Macaca mulatta: one gene and its partners. The protein of the gene in region 2 purifies or fractionates together with the protein of the main gene of each other region. This does not show direct contact. Links are inferred from orthologs where the notes say so. Each region holds a gene or a part of one and is shown on either strand. Other genes may lie near its edges.

Region 1 (4,025 bases), on a different chromosome or scaffold from region 2:
CATACCTGGGCAAGGGAAGTTTAATTTCACTATAGAGTAAATCATTTTTTCAAGGAAACCAGAGGGCGTGTCATACAGCATCACTGAATATTCTAATATGAGATGAAGCTGTTATGCTTCCTTATGAACTTTATAAATCTTCATTTTTATGAAGCTTAGAATTCATCCCCCTTCCCTCTTCCACTGTTTTCCCGGGGTCACAGTTGTAGTATAGTTTGTCCAATGGATTTCGCATGGTCATTGTACCTGGAATATGTCACGCTCTCTACTCCAACCGCCCCCAAACTCTTCTCAGCAGAGATAGGCTTAAAGCAGCTTGCTTTTAGGCGGCGACGCAAACACACGTAGCCAGTTGAGCGACAGCAAGCAACCAAATGGCTTTGCTGGAGGCCCCCTGCGTTGCACGGGTAAAGCCCGTTGCAAAATACAGTCCTTTCATTTATTCCTCTGTTACTATTTATGAGACTTGTCAAGGCTGCAAGGGCATGCGCAGCCTTCCCACCACACAGGACCCGCTGGGGTCTCCGGCTCCCCTAAAATTAAACCACTGTCTTTCGTTCCGACTCATGTTTAGCTGTTGTGCGTATTTTACAGATAAAGGAGGGATCCTGTCCACAGACCCAATTCTAAGGGCCGCCTTCTCCCCCACGGAGGAAGAAGCTTCCTGGCAAAAGGACGAACAGGTGCGACGCCCGCATTTCGCAGCCTCTCACCTGGCCAGCGGGCTGGGCTACTGTCCCCACTCAGCAGCTAGGGACGTGGGCCCCGCGGCGGCGGCCACTTGGGGTCTGCCGGGTCCCCTCTCTTTCCGCCTGCGCTCGGCCTCGGACCCCACACTCAAAAGCGCCTCACGCGTTCCGCCTTAGGCTCACTGTCCGATCTCGCCAGACAGCGTCTGGATGGGACCGGGAAGCGGCGGCCGTCACAGCTGTTCAGGTTCTGGGATCCACGCTCAGAGACGACAGCGCTGGTGATCACCAGAAGGCCTGCCGGCTCCCGGGAAAGAAAAATCCGTCCACAGTCCAGCGGCTGACATTTCCCAGTCAGCCGTAGCACCGCCCGCTTCCGCCTCCCCGCCTACCCCATGGGCCGACCAGTCCCGCTCCCGCGGGGGGTTGTGGGTATCTGGAAGGCGGGTAAAGCTGCAAGGGAAGGAAGTTAGGGCGAGCCCGTCGGACTACGAAACGGGACGGAAACTACAATTCCCAGCAGGCCGTGGGGCCTCAGAGTGCGGCCGCGAAGCAAAGCGGGCTGTAGAGTCTTGCGCGCGCGGTGGGGATGGAACGTTGCTAGACTTAGCGGGTCTGGCTCCTGGGGGTCCGAGCAGCACGCTCGGAGCCGCCGCGCGCCAAATCGGGAATCCGGGAGGCGAGCAGCTCTGCAATTAATGCACGTATTTTAAACTCCCGAGCCTGCGGACGCTATGCACAGGTAAACGGATTCAAAAAGGGAAGAGCATGAATGGACCCTCTTAATAATTCTTTTAGGCCGCGAATATCGCTACTGGCTAATATTGTTAGTAATGCTGTTAAGTGAATGGTTGCTTAGCCCCTTCTTGGGGAAAGTGTGAATGGATGAATGCCTTAGTGCGGGGATCAGCGTGCGGTTTTATCTGGCTTCCTTAATTGGGCTTTTTTGCCACCGTTTTCAATCACTGTATGATTGCCCTGTCTCTCTCCTTGTCTGTTCCCTCCGCTGGGAGAAATTCTTGAGGCCTTCTGCAGGATCGTAAGTCAAAGAGCCTTCTCGATTTGTTCTTTTCATTTCTTCATTTTCTTGGTAACTCTCCGCGGGCACGTAAAAAAATGCGATTGTGTTAGCTGCTGTGAAGGTTTTCCACAATACATAAACTGCAGCTTCTTTAATGCCTTCCTTGGAATTATTTATGGGTGTGTTTTCGAAAGGAACCGGGGGTATTGTGCACTTCTGCAGGAAGCACCTTCAGGAGATTCCAGACCTGAGTAGCAACGTTGCCACCAGCTTCACGTGGGGATGGGATTCCAGCAAGACTTCTGAACTGCTGTCAGGCATGGGGGTCTCCGCCCTGGAGAAAGAGGAGCCCGACAGTGAGAACATCCCCCAGGAACTATTCTCAAACCTGGGCCACCCGGAGAGCCCCCCACGGAAACGGCTGAAGAGCAAAGGGAGTGAAAAAGACTTTGTGATTGTCCGCAGGCCTAAGCTAAATCGAGAGAACTTTCCAGGTAAGGATATGAGGGTAAAAATGTAAGTTATGCAAAGGGTGGATTTAGCTATGTTGTTGGGAAACCTTTGTTCAGGGATCTTTACCATGGGTTCCTTTTAAGATTGCCTAATTCTGAAGCTGTTTTTTCAACACAATAGGGCAAGTCGTCAAGTATGCAGGAATCTTGGTAGGTATATATGTGTGTGTGTATGTGTGTATATATATGTGTGTGTGTGTGCGTTCTGGTGCATAATCACCCTGAAAATTTTAACCCATGAGAAGACATTCCTGCCTTTTTCCTTAGAAGGGAATCTGTCTTCCTAAAGGCCAGCTCGGTGCCACCAATTAATAGAAACAAAGCAGTGGTCTTCTTGTAGGATTCTTTTGCTTTGTACCCCTGAGTGAGCTTTTTGTCTTAATCACTTAAGTTATTTATCAGTGGACTGCTGAAGTGAACATTCACCTAAGTGGGGGAGAATTATCTCCCCAGGCCCACTCCCACTCCCATATTATCTTCTCTGGTGTGTTCTGTCTCCATTACTGCTGACACTATCTGTTTAATCACCCAACCCAAAAACCTGAGAGTCAGTCCGATTCCCACCGCCCCCAACATCCACTCATTCATTGCATCTTTCTTCTCTGGTAACTATTTCTCAAGTTCTTATCTTCTCTTGCCTCAACTATTGGAGCAGATTCATAATTCCAACCTTCTCCCCAGATCTATCCCCTAGAACTAGAATGGATTGACTGAAAAACTATTTCTTCCCTCCTTAATAGCTCCCCATCCCCTAGTTTCTCAAGCAGGTGAATGAGTGCCTCCCAGAGTGAACCAGAACCCTGGAGTATGCAAAAGCCATAGGGTAAATAGGGCAATGACCTGGGGTTATCAGTTTTTCTTACTAGTAAGCTATTTAAAACAGTAATGCAGCAAATATTTGCTGAGCACATACCATGTGCTAGGCAGTGTTCCAGGTGCTGGAGATACACCAGTGGGCACAACATAAACATTTCTGGTCTCAGGGAGCATCCATTCTAGTGAGAGAAAACAATAAACACAATAACTATTTTTATATAGTATGTTAGAAGGTGATAAGTGCTATGGCTAAAAACAAAAATGGAACAAGCCAAGAGGGAATGCAGGTCCTGGGGTGGGAAGATAGAGTGCACTTTTAAACCAGGTATTGAGGGAAAGCCTCAACTGGACAGTGACCTTTAAGCAAAGACATAAAGGAGGCAAGGGAGTGTGCCATGCAGATATCATGGAGAAAAGAGCTCCAGGCAGAAGGAATAGCCAATGCAAAGACCCTGGTGCATAAATGTGACACATTTGTTCCAGGAACAGGGAAGCCATATTCTAAGAGTAGAATGAGCAAAGGAGAGAGTTGGGAGAGATCAGGCTGGAGGTAATGTTGAGCACAGTTGTGATGGGACCTGATTTAACCTTCTAAAAAGGACACACTGATGTGTTGAGACTCAACCGCAGGGGTGTCAAGGGTAGAAACTTAGGGTCTTTTTTAAATTTCATATTTTCAAGACAGAGTCTTGCTCTGTCGCCCAGGCTAGAGTGCAGTGGCATTCTCTTGGCTCACTGTCTTCACCTGGATTTGAGAGATTCTCCTGCCTCAGCCTCCTAAGTAACTGAGACTACAGGCATGCACCACCACGCCCAGCAATTGTTTTGTTTTTTGTAGAGTTGGGCGGCGGCGGGGGTGGGGGTGGTGGTGGTGGGATCTTACCATCTTGTCCAGGCGGGTCTCAAACTCCTGGACTCAGGCGATCCTCCAGCCTTGGCCTCCCAAAGTGCTGGGATTACAGGAATGAACCACCACACCTGGCCAAA
Region 2 (4,021 bases):
GGGATGATACTGTATGTAAAATAACCTTGGTGTTAACAACTGCGCAGCTAAGACCAATCTTTTATTATGCTGTGGAGTCAATATGAGAGGCAAGGAAAGGTTTGTTTAAAAAGATGTTTCGCTCGGCCGGGCGCAGGGGCTCACGCCTGTAATCCCAGCACTTTGGGAGGCCGAGGCGGGCGGATCACGAGGTCAGGAGATCCAGAACATCCTGGCCAACACGGTGAAACTCCGTCTCTACTAAAAACACCAAAATTAGCTGGGCGTGGTGGCTCTTGCCTGTAATCCCAGCTAGTCGGGAGGCTGAGGCAGGAGAATCGCTTCAACCAGAGAGTCGGAAGTTGCAATGAGCCGAGATCGCGCCACGGTACTCCAGCCTGGCGACAGAACGAGACTCCGTCTCAGAGCGGGGATGAAAAAAAAAAAAAAAAAAAAAAAGGTGTTTAGCTCAACTAGACAGCCTTTACAGCAATTCCGCCACCGGTGACAGTGAGAAACTGTCAGCTTGGGGAGGCCGCGCGGCGACTGGACCCCGCCCCCGGGAAGCCTCCCCGGGGCCGAGGCCACCCCCCCGCCCCGGGCCTTCTCCTCGGAGTCGGGAAATGCCTGCCCCCACGCTAAGTCTCTACTGGCCACTCTCTATAAGGCAAAAATGGCAAAAATCCTCATTTGAGGCATCGCTCCCTCGACGCCCATCGCCACTCCGACTCCCTCAAAAAATTGGTCGCAAAGCCCCCCGCCTGGTCCCTCATCTGGACCTCCATTCTCAAGAACAGGGTGGCAAGGCAGGAAAAGACGCACACTTCCCAGCCCCCGGCCCCCGAGGGCAGCCTCTGTGTTTCTCAATAAAGCCTCCTACCAGGGGCAAGACCAAGTTCGGGCGCTTCCCCTCGTGGAGAAACGCTGGCCCCACGGCTCCCGGCCCGGACGCGCTGGCCCTTTAAAGGCGCGGGCTTCCTGCGCCCGGGGCCCCTCCCACGCCATCGCCACCGCCCGCGCCCGCCCCCGCCGAGGGTCACACTTGAACTTTAGCTCGCCCAGCGCAGCCAGGCGCCGGCGCTCCGCAGGCGGTGGCCGCCCCTTCGCACGTGTCGGAGGCACCACCTCGGGCTCGGGACGCCCGGCCCCCGGCACTCGAGGCCACTCCAGAGAAAACCAAACAAAGCAAAATGCGCACCGCCTCCAGAAACTGCCCGGCTGGCCCTGCACCGTCCACGGCCGGTCGCGCCCTGCCTGTCCCCTCCACCTGCAGCCCGGTCCCGGGACAGGGAGAGTCCGGGGCCCCTCGCCGCGCCCTCCCCCGCCGCGCCCGGCGGAAACAGCTCCGCAGCGCGGCCGGAGAGGACCTGCCCTCCCCCCGCGGAGGTCCGGGAGGGAAGGGGCAGTCGAAGCAGTCAGCGCGGGCCGGGGGAGTGCCCCTCCCAGCGAACCCGTTTCTCCTTTCACTGGCAAACTTTTCGGCCGCTGATATCCACTTCTTGGCGCACTTTCTTTACTTAGTTCCTCGACGAGCCCCTTTTCGCGTCCCACGCGAACTCTTGACTGGCGCGCGCGCACACCTACTGCCGTCCCCGACCGGACCTGGGCGAGGTCACCGCGACCACCGCTTCTCGCCCGCCCTCCTGGGAACGCGCTGCCCTCCTGGCCCGCACCTTCAGGCCGAGCAAACCTGCACAGCTGCGCCCTCGCCTGACCCACCGCGCCCCCAAGGTCCGGCCGCGCGCCGAGACCGCTCACCTTCCAGCCCGCCGAGCTGTTGCTGTCACCCTTATCCTTGAAGTAGGGCACGCTCTTGACCATCCACTCGTAGATCTGCGACAGCGTCAGCCGCTTCTCCGCCGAGCTCTCGATGGCCTTGGTGATGAGGTCAGCGTAGGACAGGTTGCCCCACGCGTTGCGGCGGGACGAGCTGCTCTTGCGCGGCTGCCCCGCGAGAGGCCCAGCGGCAGCGGGGGGCACTGGCGGGTGCTGCGACAGCGGCCCGGGCGGCGGGGGCTGCGGCGGCGCTGGGTGCAGGCAGCCCGCCTCCGGGCCTTGGAAGTCCCCGCACAGTCCCCCGGTGGCGGCCGCGGCGGCCGCCGCCGCCACCGCCGCCGCCACGGAGCCGGGTGCTTGCGGAAAGTCCTCGCTCTCCTCCAGCAAGCTCAGGTTGCTCATGAAGTCGGCGCTGACAGCGGCAGCCGAGGCCGAGGGCAGGCCCGCCGCGGCGTCGGGGTTGGCAGCCGCGCCGCCCGACGGCGCCGGGCTGGAGGTGGCCGAGTTGGACTGGCTAAACTCCGGCCTGGGCAGCGGCCAGGTGCACGAGCGCGGCCGGGGCAGCGGCTCGAAGTCCGGGTCGATCTCCACCACCTGAGGCGCTTCGGCCATGGTGACCCCCGCCCCTCCCCCAGCCGCGGGAGAGCCAAGAAGGGGAGAACGCAGCACGGGGGCCGGAGGGGGAGGGGGCGCGAAGAGACGGTCCGAGATTTGGGGGAACGAAGCCGGTGCGGCGAGCGGACGGAAACTGGGAGGAAAGCGCGGCGGAGTGCAAGCGCGAGCCCAGAACTTAACTTCGCCGGGCCATCCACATCGAGGCTCCTCAGGGTCCGCCGCACGGACTGGACGGCTGGCCAGAGCCGCCGGGCCGGGGCAGAGCCTGCGCCGCGCTCCAGCTGACAGGGCCGCGGACGGAAGGACAGACGGATGCCGCGGGCCGCTCGCTCTCCCCGGCTGCGCGCCCGCTGCGCTGCTGCCTGTTGAATGTGGCGGCGGCAGCAGCGGCTGCTGCGACTACTAGGCCGCCCGACTTACGGGATCTGCCGCCGCTCCCCGCCCGCGCCGGCGCGCGCGCCGGCCCGCCCCTGACCGACAGCCCGCGCGGCCAATGGGCATGCGGCACCGCCGCCTGGGCAGCCAGTGGGCGCCGGGCTGGGCGGGGCCCGGTTTTCCACGGGGAGGCGGCGGTGGGCTGGTGGGGGGTAGTAGGGTGTTTTTCTCTTTCACACACTCATCTCCTTTTTTTTTTTTTTTTTTTTGGATCTCTATTATTTTCTGGTAATTCTCGAGTGTTTCTGTGATTCTCTCGCCTTCTCAGTGTTTTGATTGCTAGGAAGCAAAGCAGCGTGGAGGCGGCGGCGACACTTTGTTTACTACGGAGGAGCAGAGCCGAGTACTCTGGAAGCCCGGGTGGGAGGAGGCGCTCGCTGCGCCTTGACCTCTGCTGCGGGCCCAGCCCGGCGGGCGGACAGGGCAGGGGGCCGGGGACCCGGGGCGCGGGGTGGGTGGGTGGAGGCGGCCGCGCGGAATTCTACTCAATCGTTCCCTCCTGGCTCCACCCACGATGTCTTTGCTAAACGACGTGGGGAATCGGTGGATTTTGTTTTGGTTTAGTGTTTTCTTTCGCTGCGATCTGTCAAGTCCTCCGGCCCGCTCACGGGCTGCACACGACCACCGCCCCTGGCGCCGCGGGTCCTGCAGTCGAGTCCGCGCTGAGAGACCCTTCTCCGCGCCCGGTGCCCACCTGTCCGCACCCCCAGGCTCAACCTGTGCCATTCGGTCTAGCCAGAGGCGCGTCACCCAGCCGGGCAGCCCCCAACCGGATTCACTGTATTCTTGATCTTTTTTAAAAGGCTAGAAATGAGGAACAGGGGCCCCGGCGCGAGGAGGAGATTCTCCCGCCTCCCCGCACACACGGATCCAAAGGCACCCGCGACCGCATGCCCTCCGTGGGAACCTCTTCCCCTGGGCGGGAATCTCCCGCTTCGTCCACTGAGTCCAGGGCCGGCAGCGAAGGGCTCAGGAGCGCAGTTAGCGAGAACCAGGTCACTTTATTACTTACCCCTAATTAAATTTAACTGTTTGTTATTTCTTTTTTATTTACAACGGAAGTGATCGGGTGTTAAGTTAAAACGCAAGGGCGGGGGATAGGACCAAAGCCTTGGGGCGCAGCCTGCCCCATCCCCAAGTTCCTTGAGGCTACTTGCTGTGTGCGTCAACCAACCCCCCACCCACACCCCACCTTTCCTCGTCTGAGCTGCAGGTC
Region 3 (4,288 bases), on a different chromosome or scaffold from region 2:
TCCCAGCACTTTGGGAGGCCGAGACGGGCGGATCACGAGGTCAGGAGATCGAGACCATCCTGGCTAACACGGTGAAACCCCGTCTCTACTAAAAACTACAAAAAACTAGCCGGGCGAGGTGGCGGGCGCCTGTAGTCCCAGCTACTCGGGAGGCTGAGGCAGGAGAATGGCGTAAACCTGGGAGGCGGAGCTTGGAGTGAGCTGAGATTCGGCCACTGCACTCCAGCCTGGGCGACAGAGTGAGACTCCGTCTCAAAAAAAAAAAAAAAAAAAAAAAAAAAAACAGAAAAAGATAGCCGGGCGCGGTGACTCATGCCTGTAATTGCAGAGCTCTGGGAGGCCAGGGCAGGTGGATCACCTGAGGTCGGGAGTTCAAGACCAGCCTGACCAATATGGAGAAACCCCCATCTCTACCAATAATACAAAAAGTAGCCAGGCATGGTGGCTCATGCCTGTAATTCCAACTACTGAGGAGGCTGCGGCACTAGAATGGCTTGAACCCGGGAGGCGGAGGTTGCAGTGGGCTGAGAGGTGAGCTGAGATCGCGCCATTGTACTACAGCTTAGCGAAACCCCGTCTTTAAAAAAAAAAAAGAAAGAAAATAATCTAGCTAGAATGTATCAATCACAAACAACAGCGTTAGTGAAACGTGTAATAAATGGGCATTTACACAAAAATGTCATTCAAATATAACCTTGGCAATGCGCACGTTAAACTCTCACATAATACTAAACAGGTATCTCTGCATTGTTTCTTCTATTAAACAGTATCAATAACACTATTATTATTAGATAAATAATAAATTAATATTCAACGGTGTTGCTTGAAATCAGGGTCTCTTTACTAAACCAGTCCCTAAAAGCATATACTACTTTTTTTTTGAGACGAGGTCTCACTCTGTCGCCCATCCTGGAGTGCAGTGGCGCGATCACAGCTCACTGCAACCTCAAACTCGGGGGCAATCCTCCCACCTCAGTAGCTGGGACTACAGCAGCTGTGCGACACCACGTCCGGGTTTTTCAATTTTTAGTAGAGAGGAGGTCTCGCTATGTTGCCCAGGCTAGTCTAAAACTCCTAGGCTCAAGAAATCCTCCCGCTTTGGCCTCCCAAAGTGCTGGGGTTACACGAAAGAGCCACCGCGCCCGGCCTGACCCAAGTATTGATAAAGACGAACACATATCAAGGAGAGAAACTCCTCCTTGAGAGAAACAAAAATATGAAACCTGACGGGGCACGGTGGCTCACGCCGGTAATCCCAGCACTTTGGGAGGCCGATGCGGGCGAATCACGAAGTCAAGAAATCGAGACTATCCTGGCCAACATGGTGAAATCCTGTCTCTGCTAAAAATACAAAAATTAGCTGGGCGTGGTGGCGGGTGCCTGTAGTCCCAGCTACTCGGGAGGCTGAAGCAGGAGAATAGCTTGAACGGGACAGGCGGAGGTTGCGGTGAGCCGAGATCGCGCCACTGCACTTCAGCCTAGCGACAGAGAGAGACTCTGTCTCAAAACAAAACAAAAAACAAAAAACCTTGAAGAACATGACAATTGCAACATATCTGCTTCATTATGCTAGAAGTGTTAAACGTGTGTATCATTACTACGTACAAAAAGGTACGCTTGGCCCAAACACCGTTACCGTACAAGAGCAAAATTAGAATAAAATATGAACTGCTCTAAAAGTACTATCACTCTCCCATGCCTACTTCTAACTGCATTACAGAATTTTAATATCTTCAGAAACAGCCATGTTCTTTAAATTTTGCAGGCTGTGACTACAGAAACAGCTTTCCTCTTTTAAAAATTGTAACTTCAGGCATAAAAATATAGACCTTCAAAAAAAAAACAGCAAACTGCACAGGTGTCAGCTTACAAAAAGCAATTGAAAACGCCGACCAACGGGACAGCCAAAAAGTTGCAGACTTAAGTGTGTTGGTGGGTGAAGAAAAGCAAATGAAAAATAAAGAAGAAAAAGGAAAGGAAAAAAAAAAAGCTCTAACAAAACCAATATGCTAAAAGAGTAAGAGGGTGAGAGAAACTTATTTTAAAGTGACTGCGAGAGTCTCCCGACCTGGCTGCTGCGCAAAGCGCAAGGCCGCCCAGGCGGGTCACGGACGGAGGAAAAGAGCAAATCCACCAGCAGCTCGCGCAGCAGGAACGGCAGCCCCGGAGGAGCGCAGCTGAGCGAAGGGCCGTGGTGGGGAGGGGAACGCCGCAGAGCCTGCCCCGAGTCGCCGGCCGCCCTCAACCTCACACCAGTAGGAGCCCGGGGAAAGGGAGGAGGAGATGCGCAGTTCCGGCCGCCCGCACCCTGCGCACCTCGGTACCCAATCGCCGCCGCCGCCGCCTCTTCCTCCTCCTCGCCCTCGTCGTCGTCGTCTTCGTCGTAGAAGCTGTCGGCCAGCGGTGGCTCCCGAGATGGGCCCTGCAGGCCCGGCCCATTGTCTCCTTCCCCAGCCGCCGCAGTCGCCTGGGCCTCTTGCTCCCCGCCCGCCGCCGCCGCCTCTGCCTCCCGCCACAGCGCCGCCGCCGCAACCGGGCAGCCCCCGGCCGCCGGCACCTCACGCTCTGGGGCTGCCCCACCGGGCTCGCCCGGGCTCCGCTCGAGGCCAGGACCATCTCTCCGCGGCCTCTTGCGGAGCGGCTCCCCGGCGGGGGGCGACCCGGCCTCCCTCTCGGCCCCCGCCGCCGAGGGGGAGCCGCCGGGCTGAAGGGCGAGGGCCGCCTCGTCCGCCATCTTCCAACTGCCTCTCTGGCCCTCCTCCCTCGCCTCCTCTGCTCCCGCTCGACGCGCGGCACTGGCGCCCCCGCGGCTCCGGCTGCGGGAGATTTAAACCCCGTCACGTGACCCGCCCCATCGCCGCCCCCGCCCCCTCGGCGCTCCCGCCACCCACGCGGGCCAGACCACAACACTACGGGTCACGTGACGGGCGGAGGCTGTTGCATCTACCCCTCCGCCTGGGCTGGAAGCACGCTCGGCCCCGGCGGCCGCGGCCCTGCGCCTTTGTGGCGGGCGTGTAGTGCAACCAAATTCGCCCCTCGGCCGCTTTTTGAACTTCTCTTTGAAACCGACCTCAAATCACTACCGCCTGAACAGCTCAAGTTTTGGTCCGCCCTGGGAATTTCCACTTCTACCTGAAGTGTACACCTGGCCTGCCTTAGCGTTGTCTAGCTTTAGCTAAGGGTTGAAACACAGCTGAAGCTGGCTAAGGACTTAGCTCCCTGAAATACGCTGGATAGTCGTTCTGTTTTGTTAATGGGTAGGAATAGAGGCAAAAGGAGAAGGCTCCCTTCCCACCCTCCTCACACCGTTCTGACAGCTCCTCTTTAGCTCCTTTTTCTGCTCCTAGCTTCTCTCCTTAGTTGCTTTTTCTCCTCTCTCCATCACTTGTAGGGTGGTATAGATTGTCACATCCTGGGAAGACCTTTGACTTGGAGGTTTGGAGTTCAGCCGATCTACTTTCTGGCCCCAGATTGGCTTCAAACGTGTGTGAATTCCCTCCTCTGGGCCTCAGTTTTCTCACGTGCAGAATGGGTTTGTTGGGTCGGTATGAGGAGAGCTCGGGAAGAAAATGGCTTGGCCTCCATGGACATCTGCTCTTGGTTAAAATTTGGAGTCCTTCCTTTCTAGCATGAGCTATCTAACCTTTTCTAAAGTTAATTTTTCTCATGTCTTAAATTGTAATAATGAAGTACTTTAAAAGGTCATAGATTTAAATGAGATAACCAGATGTAAAATCAGGGGTACCTAGTAGTTTAAAAGGCTTAGTGGAAAGCCCTTCCACTTTCCTCTCTCCCTGAAATTCTGGGACACTGTGACTCCATATCTAACCTTAACTGAGGACCCATATAACCCATGGTAGATCTAGAGCCGGTGTTTGTTATGGCATCTCCCTGGAGCACAGCCTTTCTATCTGTTTAAAGGACCTCTATGAGTTTATGGTACACTGTCCCTTAAGCCGAGCGTGGGTTCTGGCCATACTGCATCAATTACTTGCGTGACTTTAGGCAATCAACTTAAAGCTGTTTCTTCATCCTTAAAATTAAAAAAATTAAAAATAGAATGTTGGAAATATATCACTAAGGTCCCATCTGCATCCAAAAGTCTTATTTCATCTGGTCACCACTATTCATTTCTGAAAGTGATCATCTCTAGTCCTAGAAGCCTTAAACCCATCTTTGGGAGCGTGGGGGACAAGGGGAGGGAGAGCATTAGGACAAATAGCTAATGCATGCGGGACTGAAAACCTAGCTGGATGCGGTGGCTCACGCCTGTAATCCCAGCACTTTG
Region 4 (4,268 bases), on a different chromosome or scaffold from region 2:
TTACCAAAGTCCAGCAAATACCACCTCCTTAATCTCTCAACTCCTCCCACCTCTCTCCATCTCCACTGTCACTGCCTTCATCCAGATCTTCATCCTGATATCTGGATCACTGCAACTGTACCCAACTGGTCCCCTGCTTGTCTTCTTCTGTCCAGTGTAACCACCACATTGCTGCCTGGGTAATTTAAAACATGAGAGGATGTCCCACCTGTTTTAAAATCTTCAGTGTCCTGCTCTCCACCCCCGCCCCCACATTTTAGAGTCCAAACTTCTAGGCCTGGCAATATTAATGACTACTGTTTATTATTTATCATCTACCAGTGCCAAGTGAGTAATATATCACCTCATTCAGTTTTTATTTCCCCTTCATAGAGATGAGGAAACTGAAGCTTAGAAAGGAAGTGACTTTCTGTGCCCAGGGTCACAAAACTAGTTCAGTGGCAATGCGAATACTGGCAGGCAGCTATCTTGGATCCCAAAGTCTATGTGCTCTTAACATGCTACTGTCCACAGCGTCCTTCACAATGTGGCCAGTGCTTACCTTTCCAGTCACCTCTCATCCTACACCTCCACACTGCCACTCCAGTGAACCACAAGCAGGCCATGCATTCTCACCTCTAGCCCTTTGCTCATACCACTTCGAACCACTCTTCACCTGTAAAATCTTATTCATCCTTTAGGTCTTGGCTAAAGCAGCACTTCCTCACTGAAACCTTTTTTGATGAGTCAGCCTGACTTATGAGTACCCTAAGTTATCCTCTACCAAACCTCCGTAATAGCTCCATACCATACCGTTGCTATCTCCTTGACTTAAAAAAAGGTAAACTCTTTGGGGACAGGGATGTGTATCTTACTCATTTTTGTATTCCCAGCTTGCAGTGCAGTGCCAGACACACAGCTGAAGCTCAATAAATGTTTATTCTCTATAATGAGATGCTGGCTGGGAACAGAAAAGGGAACCTATGGTTGAATAATGGAAAGTCCAGTACTCAGCTCTTAAAGGATTTCAAAATCATGTCACATGAGGGCAGGAAGGAGCTGGCCAAGATAAACGGAAGGGGAAGGGGAGATGTTCTAAGCAGCAGAAGCAAAGGGCTATAGGTGAGACACACCTGCAAGCAGCTTAACAAGACTGGAGCAGCGTTGGGGGATGGGAGAGCAGTTCAGCAACATGAGCCATTCCAAGACTGGCCTTTTTTTTATTCAAGTGTTAGGTCATTTCTTCAGGGAAGCTATCCCTGACCAGCTAGCTTTTATGCTTCCCCCAATTACTCTCCATCCCATGACCCTGTTTCTTTTTGTAGTACGTTTCAGAATCTGAAACACCTACCAACCCTCATTGACAATGCCGCCACCGCTGGCACCACCACTATTATTAGAAGGTGCCATGAAACAGGGTTCTTTTTCATCTTATTTTACTGATAGATCACCAGTGCCCACAATAATGCCAGGCAATAACAGGCAAATACGTGTTTCATTCATTCATCCAACAAATATGTATTGAGCATATATAAAATGCTAGGCATTGCTCTATATGCTGGGGATATAACAAAACACGACAAAATTTGCTGTCGTCGTTAAGTTTACTATCAGCAAATACGTTAAATATGCTTAGCCTAGAGAAGAAAAAGTGAGAGGAAGACGACAAACTAGCAGCTTTCAATGATGTATAGGGCAATTAAATGCAGGGATGATTCCAAGAGCCTAAAGAAGGAACAGTGAGCTAAGACTACTGAGTAGCTGCTTTCAGCTCAACCTAAGACTCAGAACTGGGGAAGGACCAAACAGGAGCAACCAGAAGTAGAAAGCTTTCTGTCACTGAAGATATCTGGCCAGTGGGCAGAGGTGTCAGAGAAAAAAATCTAAGTAGACAATGAAAAAGGGAGCCTGGGATCCACAGGTCCCAAACTGGCAGCCACAGATATGACTGGTTACAGCTGAACAGCGTTTTGTAAAAATTGAGTTGCCAATGTTTTTAAAAAACAGAATTACTTGCCAATTTTTTAAAAATGGCATCAGTCGCCAGTGTTTAAAAATCAGGAAATTGCACGCACGTGCACACACACACAGTTTGGCTTTTACTTCTCCAACATCATGCACGTTAGTACTGTACTTATAAAATTCATTTCGGTAAAATTAAAAGTTTGACTCTATTTCTGACAAATGTTCTAACACCTGCATTTACCTTACCGGATTGATTCTTATTGTGCATTATTTTTTAACCCCGTAACCAAGGAATCGAGAATCTTCTTTCTCAGAAAGTAAACTTATTTAACCTCCTCACTTAACAAATGACGGAGTATCATTCCCATTTTACAGATGAGGAAAAAGCAGCTTAAAAGAGGAAGGAACGTGCCAGAGACAGCAAAGCCAGACACAGCCAGGCTAGGAATCCAAATGTCCTATCTCCCGTGGTCCAACACTGAAGATTCTGAGCATTGCCTACCAAGAAGACAGGAGGGGCTAACTTAGGAAATCAGCACGAGCTTCCTAGTCAGAAGACCCCGGACTGAACCAGTCTGAGGGGACGCGGCTACAGACGAAGGGCGCCCGCCGTAATCAGTGAGTCCCTGGAGGAGGAAGGACCACCCAGAAGCTGGCAGAGGAAGACCCTGAGACCTGCTGTGACCCTCGCCCTCCCTGGAGAGCTCGCCCCTTGACTCCAGGCTTCCAAAACCGGCCCAGCAAGACCCCACTACACCCTCGCTCGCCGCTGCTCACTTACCGCCGCTCAACTTCCGGCAACCACAGCTTTCTCTGAGGCGCGCGCCCCGATGACGCAACGCGGCCCTGCCCGCGCCTGCCACCAGGAAGCGGCGCGCGTGCGCAGAGGACCAGAGGCAAGCCGGAGAAATGCGCCCCTAGCACCAGGCTAAGTGGGAGGAACTTGAGCCGTGGGGAGGGCGGGGCATCAGGGGAAGGCGATGGAGAGTGTCTCCCTCACCAGGTGTCGGATCGTCTACATTCCCTTCGGGCGTTTAAGAAAGTGCCCCACGTTCTCTCTTTTGATTTCAGAGGATAACAGGAATGATCACCATGGCCATTCTCCAGGAGAGGCGGCATCAAACGCAACACAGGGACCATGAGGGTGGCAGGTGTGGAGAGCCAGGAGATGAGAATTTTAGTAGGAAAAGGCCGGTAAACGTCGACAGTGACCAACTTGCCTTTTCTAAACCAGCCATCATTTTCATAGCTCCTCACTGTAAGTGAGATGAAGTTATTCCCTCTCAGTACTTGTTGGTTACATACTATGCGCGTGCGAAGCACTGGACAGGTGTTGAAGATACAGCAGTGATTATGACAAGTTTCTCTATCTGGCCTGTAAGGCCTTTCACAAGTTAACTTTGATATACCACTCTAGACTCATAATCAAGAACGATGACTGCTGTTAATTTACTAGCCACCATATGTTCAGGGTTTTACGTCTCTAATCCTCACAAGAGTCCTGAAAGGTATCGCCAAGTTACATATGAAGAACAGAATCTAAGAAAAGTTAGGTGGCTTGCTGAAAGTTAAAGGGCTTTTGGGCCAGGAACATAATCTGAAGTCTGTTTGATTCTGGCAAATAAGAAAACAAATCCAGACTAATAAGGATACTTATTAGAAAGGATTACTGCAAGAAATGGGAGAGGTAGGAGAGAAGGAACTGTGCAATAGCAGAGGGAGACTATTGCAATAGAGAGATCACTCTGACCAAAAAATCCGCAGATGTTTCAATAGTTAGGAAAAAAGAGGGTTCCCCCACCCCCAACACTCCCCAAAGGCAGGTAAACAACGCTAGAAACAACCGAATATGGAAAGTGGGATGAAGAGGTGGCTTGATCAGATATTAGATCAGAGAATGTTTTATCTTGAGACCAACCTATTCTCAGGAGGGGTTGTATGCTAGCGCAAGCTGAGAGTGGGTTAAAGTAAGCAGCCTGGGGAAAGGAAAGAAGCTTAACCCAAGTTTGGTTCATAAGCATTTTTTCCATCTGGTCAATGGAGACAAGCAGCTCTGTAATCATTTATGAGGCAAAGAATGGGAATTCAGAAGGACTGTGTTTGACCTTGCCACAGTAAACAAGGGAGGCAACCATGAGTCATTTAAGTGACATGAGAATGGGTATTTCTTTGTAGTGAACACTTTCTGAAGCACAAAAAGGTTAAGAAAGATTTCTTTTTTTCTCTTTTTTTTTTTTTTTTTTTGTGACAGGGTCTCCCTCTGTCACCCAGGATGGAGTACAGTGGAGTGATCATAGCTCACTGCAGACTCAACCTCCTGAGCT
Region 5 (4,149 bases), on a different chromosome or scaffold from region 2:
GGTGGGCTGGCACTCTTGCAGGCTGTACAGAGTGAGGCTGTGTGGAAGGCCTGTGCCCAGCATGTATCGGCAGCTTGGCCTAAGGGAGAGCTGGAGGTGCTGATGGGGGGCCTTCAAACTCCTGTGAGACTGCCTGTCCACCTCTCCTGGCAGCCTCTGGCAGGCGGTGTGCCCAGTGCTGGGGGACTCAAACCTTTCCCTGCTCCTCTAGCCGAGGGACAGGGGACAAGTGACTTAACACCTCTGTTTCAAATTCTGCCTCTGTAAAATGGCCATGATAGGCATTTCTCTTCACAGGGATGCCAGGAAGATGAAGTGAGATGAGGCAAGTTTGGCACTAAACAGTGTGCACAGCTGGAGTAAGCCATCAGTAAATGTTAACCGTGACTATAACGAGCTGACCCCTACCAGCCACCCAGTTACGGAACACATCACACTCCTTCATGCCCCCAGGTCTTTGCACAAGCGATACCTGTCGTGTGGATCACCTTTTCTCACCTTGTCTAAGAAAATTCTAAGTCACTCTTCACTTATACTGTGTCTGTATCTTGGTCTGACAGCTAGACCAGCCTGTGGATTCCTCCAGGGAATGGCCTGGCTGGAATCTTCTTTGACCCAGAAAGTTTTTCTCTGTGCTCCCACAGTGCCCTGAGTTTCTTTACTTTTCTTCCTTTTTTTTTTTTTTTTTTTTTTTTTGAGACCGTGTCTTGCTCTGTCGCCCAGGCTGGAGAGCAGTGGCACAATCATGGCATGCTACGGCCTTAAACTCCTGGGCTTAAGCAATCCTTCCCCAACTCAGCCTCATGAGTAGCTGGCACTACAGGCATGTACCACTGCACATGGCTAACTTTTAGATTTTTTGGGGCCTCCCTACGTTGCCCAGACTGGTCTGGAACTTCTAGGCTCAAGCGATCCTCCTACCTCAGCCTCCCAAAGTACTGGTATTACAAGCATGAGCCACTGTGTCTGGCCTGAGTTACTTTCTTTCTTTTTTACTTTTTAGAGAAAGGGTCTTGCTGTTTTACCCTGGAGTGCAACGATGCAATCATAGCTCACTGCAGCCTCAAACTCCTGGGCTCAAGCGATCCTCACGCCTCAGCCTCCTGAGTTATTGGAATTACGGGCATAAGCCACTGCACCTGGCCCCCTGAGTTACTTTTATCATCACACTGTGAGATAATTTTTTCCCATCACTTGTCCACGAGATCTGTGCGTTCCAAGACCAAATGGGATACCTGTCTCTTCCAGGCCCAGGACAAATTTGGTTCAGAAGGGATGGCAGGCAGTGGCGAGGAAGGAGGAAAGTTTGGGAGGGCAGGCCTGGACTTGAGGCTGGAAACGCTTCTCTGACAATCCCCAGAATCCGCCTTTCCCCAGAAAGCTGCACTGGGTGGTGTGAGGGATTGGGGCAATGAGCCGAGGGCCGTGGGGTGACTGTCTCCCCTTTGCCACCTCCCCCCCTGCGGGCTGTGGAACAAGTCCATCTCTCTCCTCCCCTCCACCCTTTCGCCCATCTCACCTGAGCCTCCTGCACCTTCCCTGCCTGGGTCTCCAGAGGGTGAGAGGCTGAGGGAGGGGAGCAGAGGTGGTTACAGTGGGGAGAATGATTAAGTGGGGAATAAAGGGATTCAAATGGTCAGTGAGGGGCCAGAACACCCACCAACCGAGTTACACTGGGATGGGATGGTGGTAAAAATGGAGCACGGGGAGGGAGGGGGCGGAGAAAAAATCTTATCAGCATGCAAAGTGATGCCAGGAGAGGTGATTAGTGAGGGGCAGAGAGGCTGGAGAGGAAGATTTAGAAGGAGAGGGAGAAAGTAGGGGCTTTTGCCCAGGCTGATCTTGAACTCCTGGGCTCAAGCGATCCAACCACCTTGGCCTCTCAAAGTACTGGGGTTACAAGCATGAGCCATTGTGTCTGGCCCTGACTTACTTTCTTTCTTTTTTACTTTTTAGAGAAAGGGTCTCGCTCATGTCACCCAGGCTGGAGTGCAATGGTGCGATCATAGCTCACTGCAGCCTCAAACTCCTGGGCTCAAGCGATCCTCCTCCTCCTACCTAAGGGATTCAGGGCATGAAGGAACACTCAGGAGGAGTTAGGAAGGACACGACAGTGTGTCAGTGTGTGTGCGGGAAGGGTTAGATTTACAAGGCAGAGGGAAGTTTAGAAAGGAAGAGAGAAGGGAAGGGACGCTTTGGCTGGGAGGCAGGTTTAGGAGGGAGGTGCAGTGGTGCAGTGGAGGCGGTAGGTTTAGGAGAGGCGCGGAACAAGGGGAAGCCATAGAAGGGGACAGCAGGGGTCCCTCAGCATCCTCTGGTTGCCTCTAACAATCAGGTACCCTTAGCAGCCGGGACCGGGGCAACTTATGTTCTTTGCAGCGAGGGTCCTTAGCAACCAAGGTGTGAGAAACACGCGATCATTGGCAACTTGGCAAGTGGATGTGGTAAACGAACCCTGAACACCCTGCGACCCAGAAACCCACCAGCCTGGCGATATAGATCGCTTAGCAACAACCCTCAGAACCCCACTCCCCGAGGCGCTCCCTACTTCCCGCCCCACTGCGGCCGCCCTTGGGCCCCGGGGCCTGCAGCCTTCAATCAGGCCCCGGCGCGGCCCGACCCTCCCACCCGGATTCCCGACTCACGGTCCGGCTCTGCCATGGGCGCGGTGCTGAAGCCCTCGAGGCTGTCACCGACCGCTCTGTCCCGTCACCGACCACTGTGTCCCGTCACCGACGGCTCTGTCCTGTCACCGACTGCTCTGTCCCGTGACGGCACCAGAAATGGGAGTGGCCGGGATAGGGCACTGAACTACAACTCCCAGCAGACATTGCGGCCGCAGACGCGCTTTCCTACGACACCCGGAGCGCCCCAGTTAGGTAAGAAAGCGCGCGAGGACCGGACTACGAGTCCCAGAAGTCATGGCGTCAGCAGCCATGTTGGTAAAGGGCGCCCGGAAAATGTGGGAACGGCTAGAGAGTCGTAGTCCTCTCGAATACTCTGATTGGTCAGCATGCGGCACGGGGGCGGGGTGTGAGCGATTCAGCATATTATCATTGGATGAATCAGGGGGCGTGGTGGGGAATTTCCCGCAGGGCGGAAGCGCCAGAACTCCCGGCAAAGCCCAGCTACAGGCGGGCCACTGCGAGGGGCCCCTGAGGTGGCGGGGGCCATGGCTGGGGTCGCGTGCTTGGGAAAAGCTGCCGACGCAGATGAATGGTGCGACAGCGGCCTCGGCTCCCTGGGTCCGGACGCAGCGGCCCCCGGAGGACCGGGATTGGGCGCGGAGCTGGGCCCGGGGCTGTCGTGGGCTCCCCTCGTCTTCGGCTACGTCACTGAGGATGGGGACACGTGAGTGAACTTTAGGCTGCCAAACGGAGCCTTAGGACCCGGCATCTGATTCCCCATTAGTGTCTGATCCCTGAGGCTTCCTAACCTCACACTCCTAAATCTGACTTCCGATGCTGAACTTCCTGACCTCTAACCCCCGAGTCCTAACTTTTAACAAAACCAATCTTCTTTCCAGCTATGATCCTCACCCAATCATTTCTGACCTTTTCCTGAACTATGATTCTCAGCTCCTGGAATCCACGTTGTATCCACTGATACCCAAACCTGACTCCAGTCCTGAGACTTTTGTTAGAACTGTGGCTTCTCCTGACTTCTAACCTCCAAATATGATCTTTGATTCTTAGTTCCTGATTTGAGCCTTAAAGTTTGATTTCCAAAATTAATGCTTGGTCCCTTACTCTAAGATCCTGTCATCTGAGCAGTGTTCTTCAAATCTTAAATTCAAAGAGAGAGAATGTAAGCTCTTCTATGTTGAATTCCTAATTAAAGTAAAAAAAAAAAAAAAAGGAAAATAGAAAAAAAGAATGTAAGCTCCACGAGACCAAGGATCCATCTGTTAAACAAATATTCTTTACACAGTACAACATTCCAGGCTCCGTTTTAGGTGCTAGTGATAAAGGCAGTGGAGAAAACAGACAAAAACTTAAGCGCTTGTGGAGCATACATTTTAGTGGAACTAAATAAACAGATAAGACCGCAAGGAAGGAAAGAAACAGAAAGACAGGAAGAAACAAAGAAAGACACGCAGAAAGAAAGAAACATAGAAAGTAAGAGAAGGAAATAAAGTCAGAGGTAGTA

The links. The genes of interacting proteins can lie anywhere in the genome.
Region 1: the proteins of FOXO1 (region 2) and SKP2 purify together in Homo sapiens (affinity purification with western blotting; 4 studies listed by BioGRID). This does not show direct contact. The link is inferred for Macaca mulatta from reciprocal best matches to the Homo sapiens genes FOXO1 and SKP2.
Region 3: the proteins of FOXO1 (region 2) and SIRT1 purify together in Homo sapiens (affinity purification with western blotting; 5 studies listed by BioGRID and IntAct, with this or other methods). This does not show direct contact. The link is inferred for Macaca mulatta from reciprocal best matches to the Homo sapiens genes FOXO1 and SIRT1.
Region 4: the proteins of FOXO1 (region 2) and ATG7 purify together in Homo sapiens (affinity purification with western blotting; 4 studies listed by BioGRID). This does not show direct contact. The link is inferred for Macaca mulatta from reciprocal best matches to the Homo sapiens genes FOXO1 and ATG7.
Region 5: the proteins of FOXO1 (region 2) and SIRT2 purify together in Homo sapiens (affinity purification with western blotting; 3 studies listed by BioGRID). This does not show direct contact. The link is inferred for Macaca mulatta from reciprocal best matches to the Homo sapiens genes FOXO1 and SIRT2.

Annotation. Positions count from the first base shown.
Region 1 is NC_133411.1:37,226,499-37,230,523, forward strand, and holds the start of SKP2 (S-phase kinase-associated protein 2), read left to right. Parts: upstream 1-1,225; 5' UTR 1,226-1,423; coding exon 1,424-1,431; intron 1,432-1,932; coding exon 1,933-2,204; intron 2,205-4,025. UniProt on the Homo sapiens protein: Substrate recognition component of a SCF (SKP1-CUL1-F-box protein) E3 ubiquitin-protein ligase complex which mediates the ubiquitination and subsequent proteasomal degradation of target proteins involved in cell cycle progression, signal transduction and transcription.
Region 2 is NC_133422.1:20,126,810-20,130,830, forward strand, and holds the start of FOXO1 (forkhead box protein O1), read right to left. Parts: upstream 2,801-4,021; 5' UTR 2,368-2,800; coding exon 1,738-2,367; intron 1-1,737. UniProt on the Homo sapiens protein: Transcription factor that is the main target of insulin signaling and regulates metabolic homeostasis in response to oxidative stress.
Region 3 is NC_133414.1:81,881,658-81,885,945, forward strand, and holds the start of SIRT1 (NAD-dependent protein deacetylase sirtuin-1), read right to left. Parts: upstream 2,801-4,288; 5' UTR 2,735-2,800; coding exon 2,317-2,734; intron 1-2,316. UniProt on the Homo sapiens protein: NAD-dependent protein deacetylase that links transcriptional regulation directly to intracellular energetics and participates in the coordination of several separated cellular functions such as cell cycle, response to DNA damage, metabolism, apoptosis and autophagy.
Region 4 is NC_133407.1:150,124,902-150,129,169, reverse strand, and holds the start of ATG7 (ubiquitin-like modifier-activating enzyme ATG7), read right to left. Parts: upstream 2,801-4,268; 5' UTR 2,726-2,800; exon of another isoform or gene 1-2,725. UniProt on the Homo sapiens protein: E1-like activating enzyme involved in the 2 ubiquitin-like systems required for cytoplasm to vacuole transport (Cvt) and autophagy.
Region 5 is NC_133424.1:49,992,568-49,996,716, forward strand, and holds the start of SIRT2 (NAD-dependent protein deacetylase sirtuin-2), read right to left. Parts: upstream 2,801-4,149; 5' UTR 2,662-2,800; coding exon 2,646-2,661; intron 2,059-2,645; exon of another isoform or gene 1,934-2,058; intron 1,567-1,933; coding exon 1,520-1,566; intron 1-1,519. Other genes in the region: NFKBIB (NF-kappa-B inhibitor beta), read left to right, coding at 3,173-3,351. UniProt on the Homo sapiens protein: NAD-dependent protein deacetylase, which deacetylates internal lysines on histone and alpha-tubulin as well as many other proteins such as key transcription factors.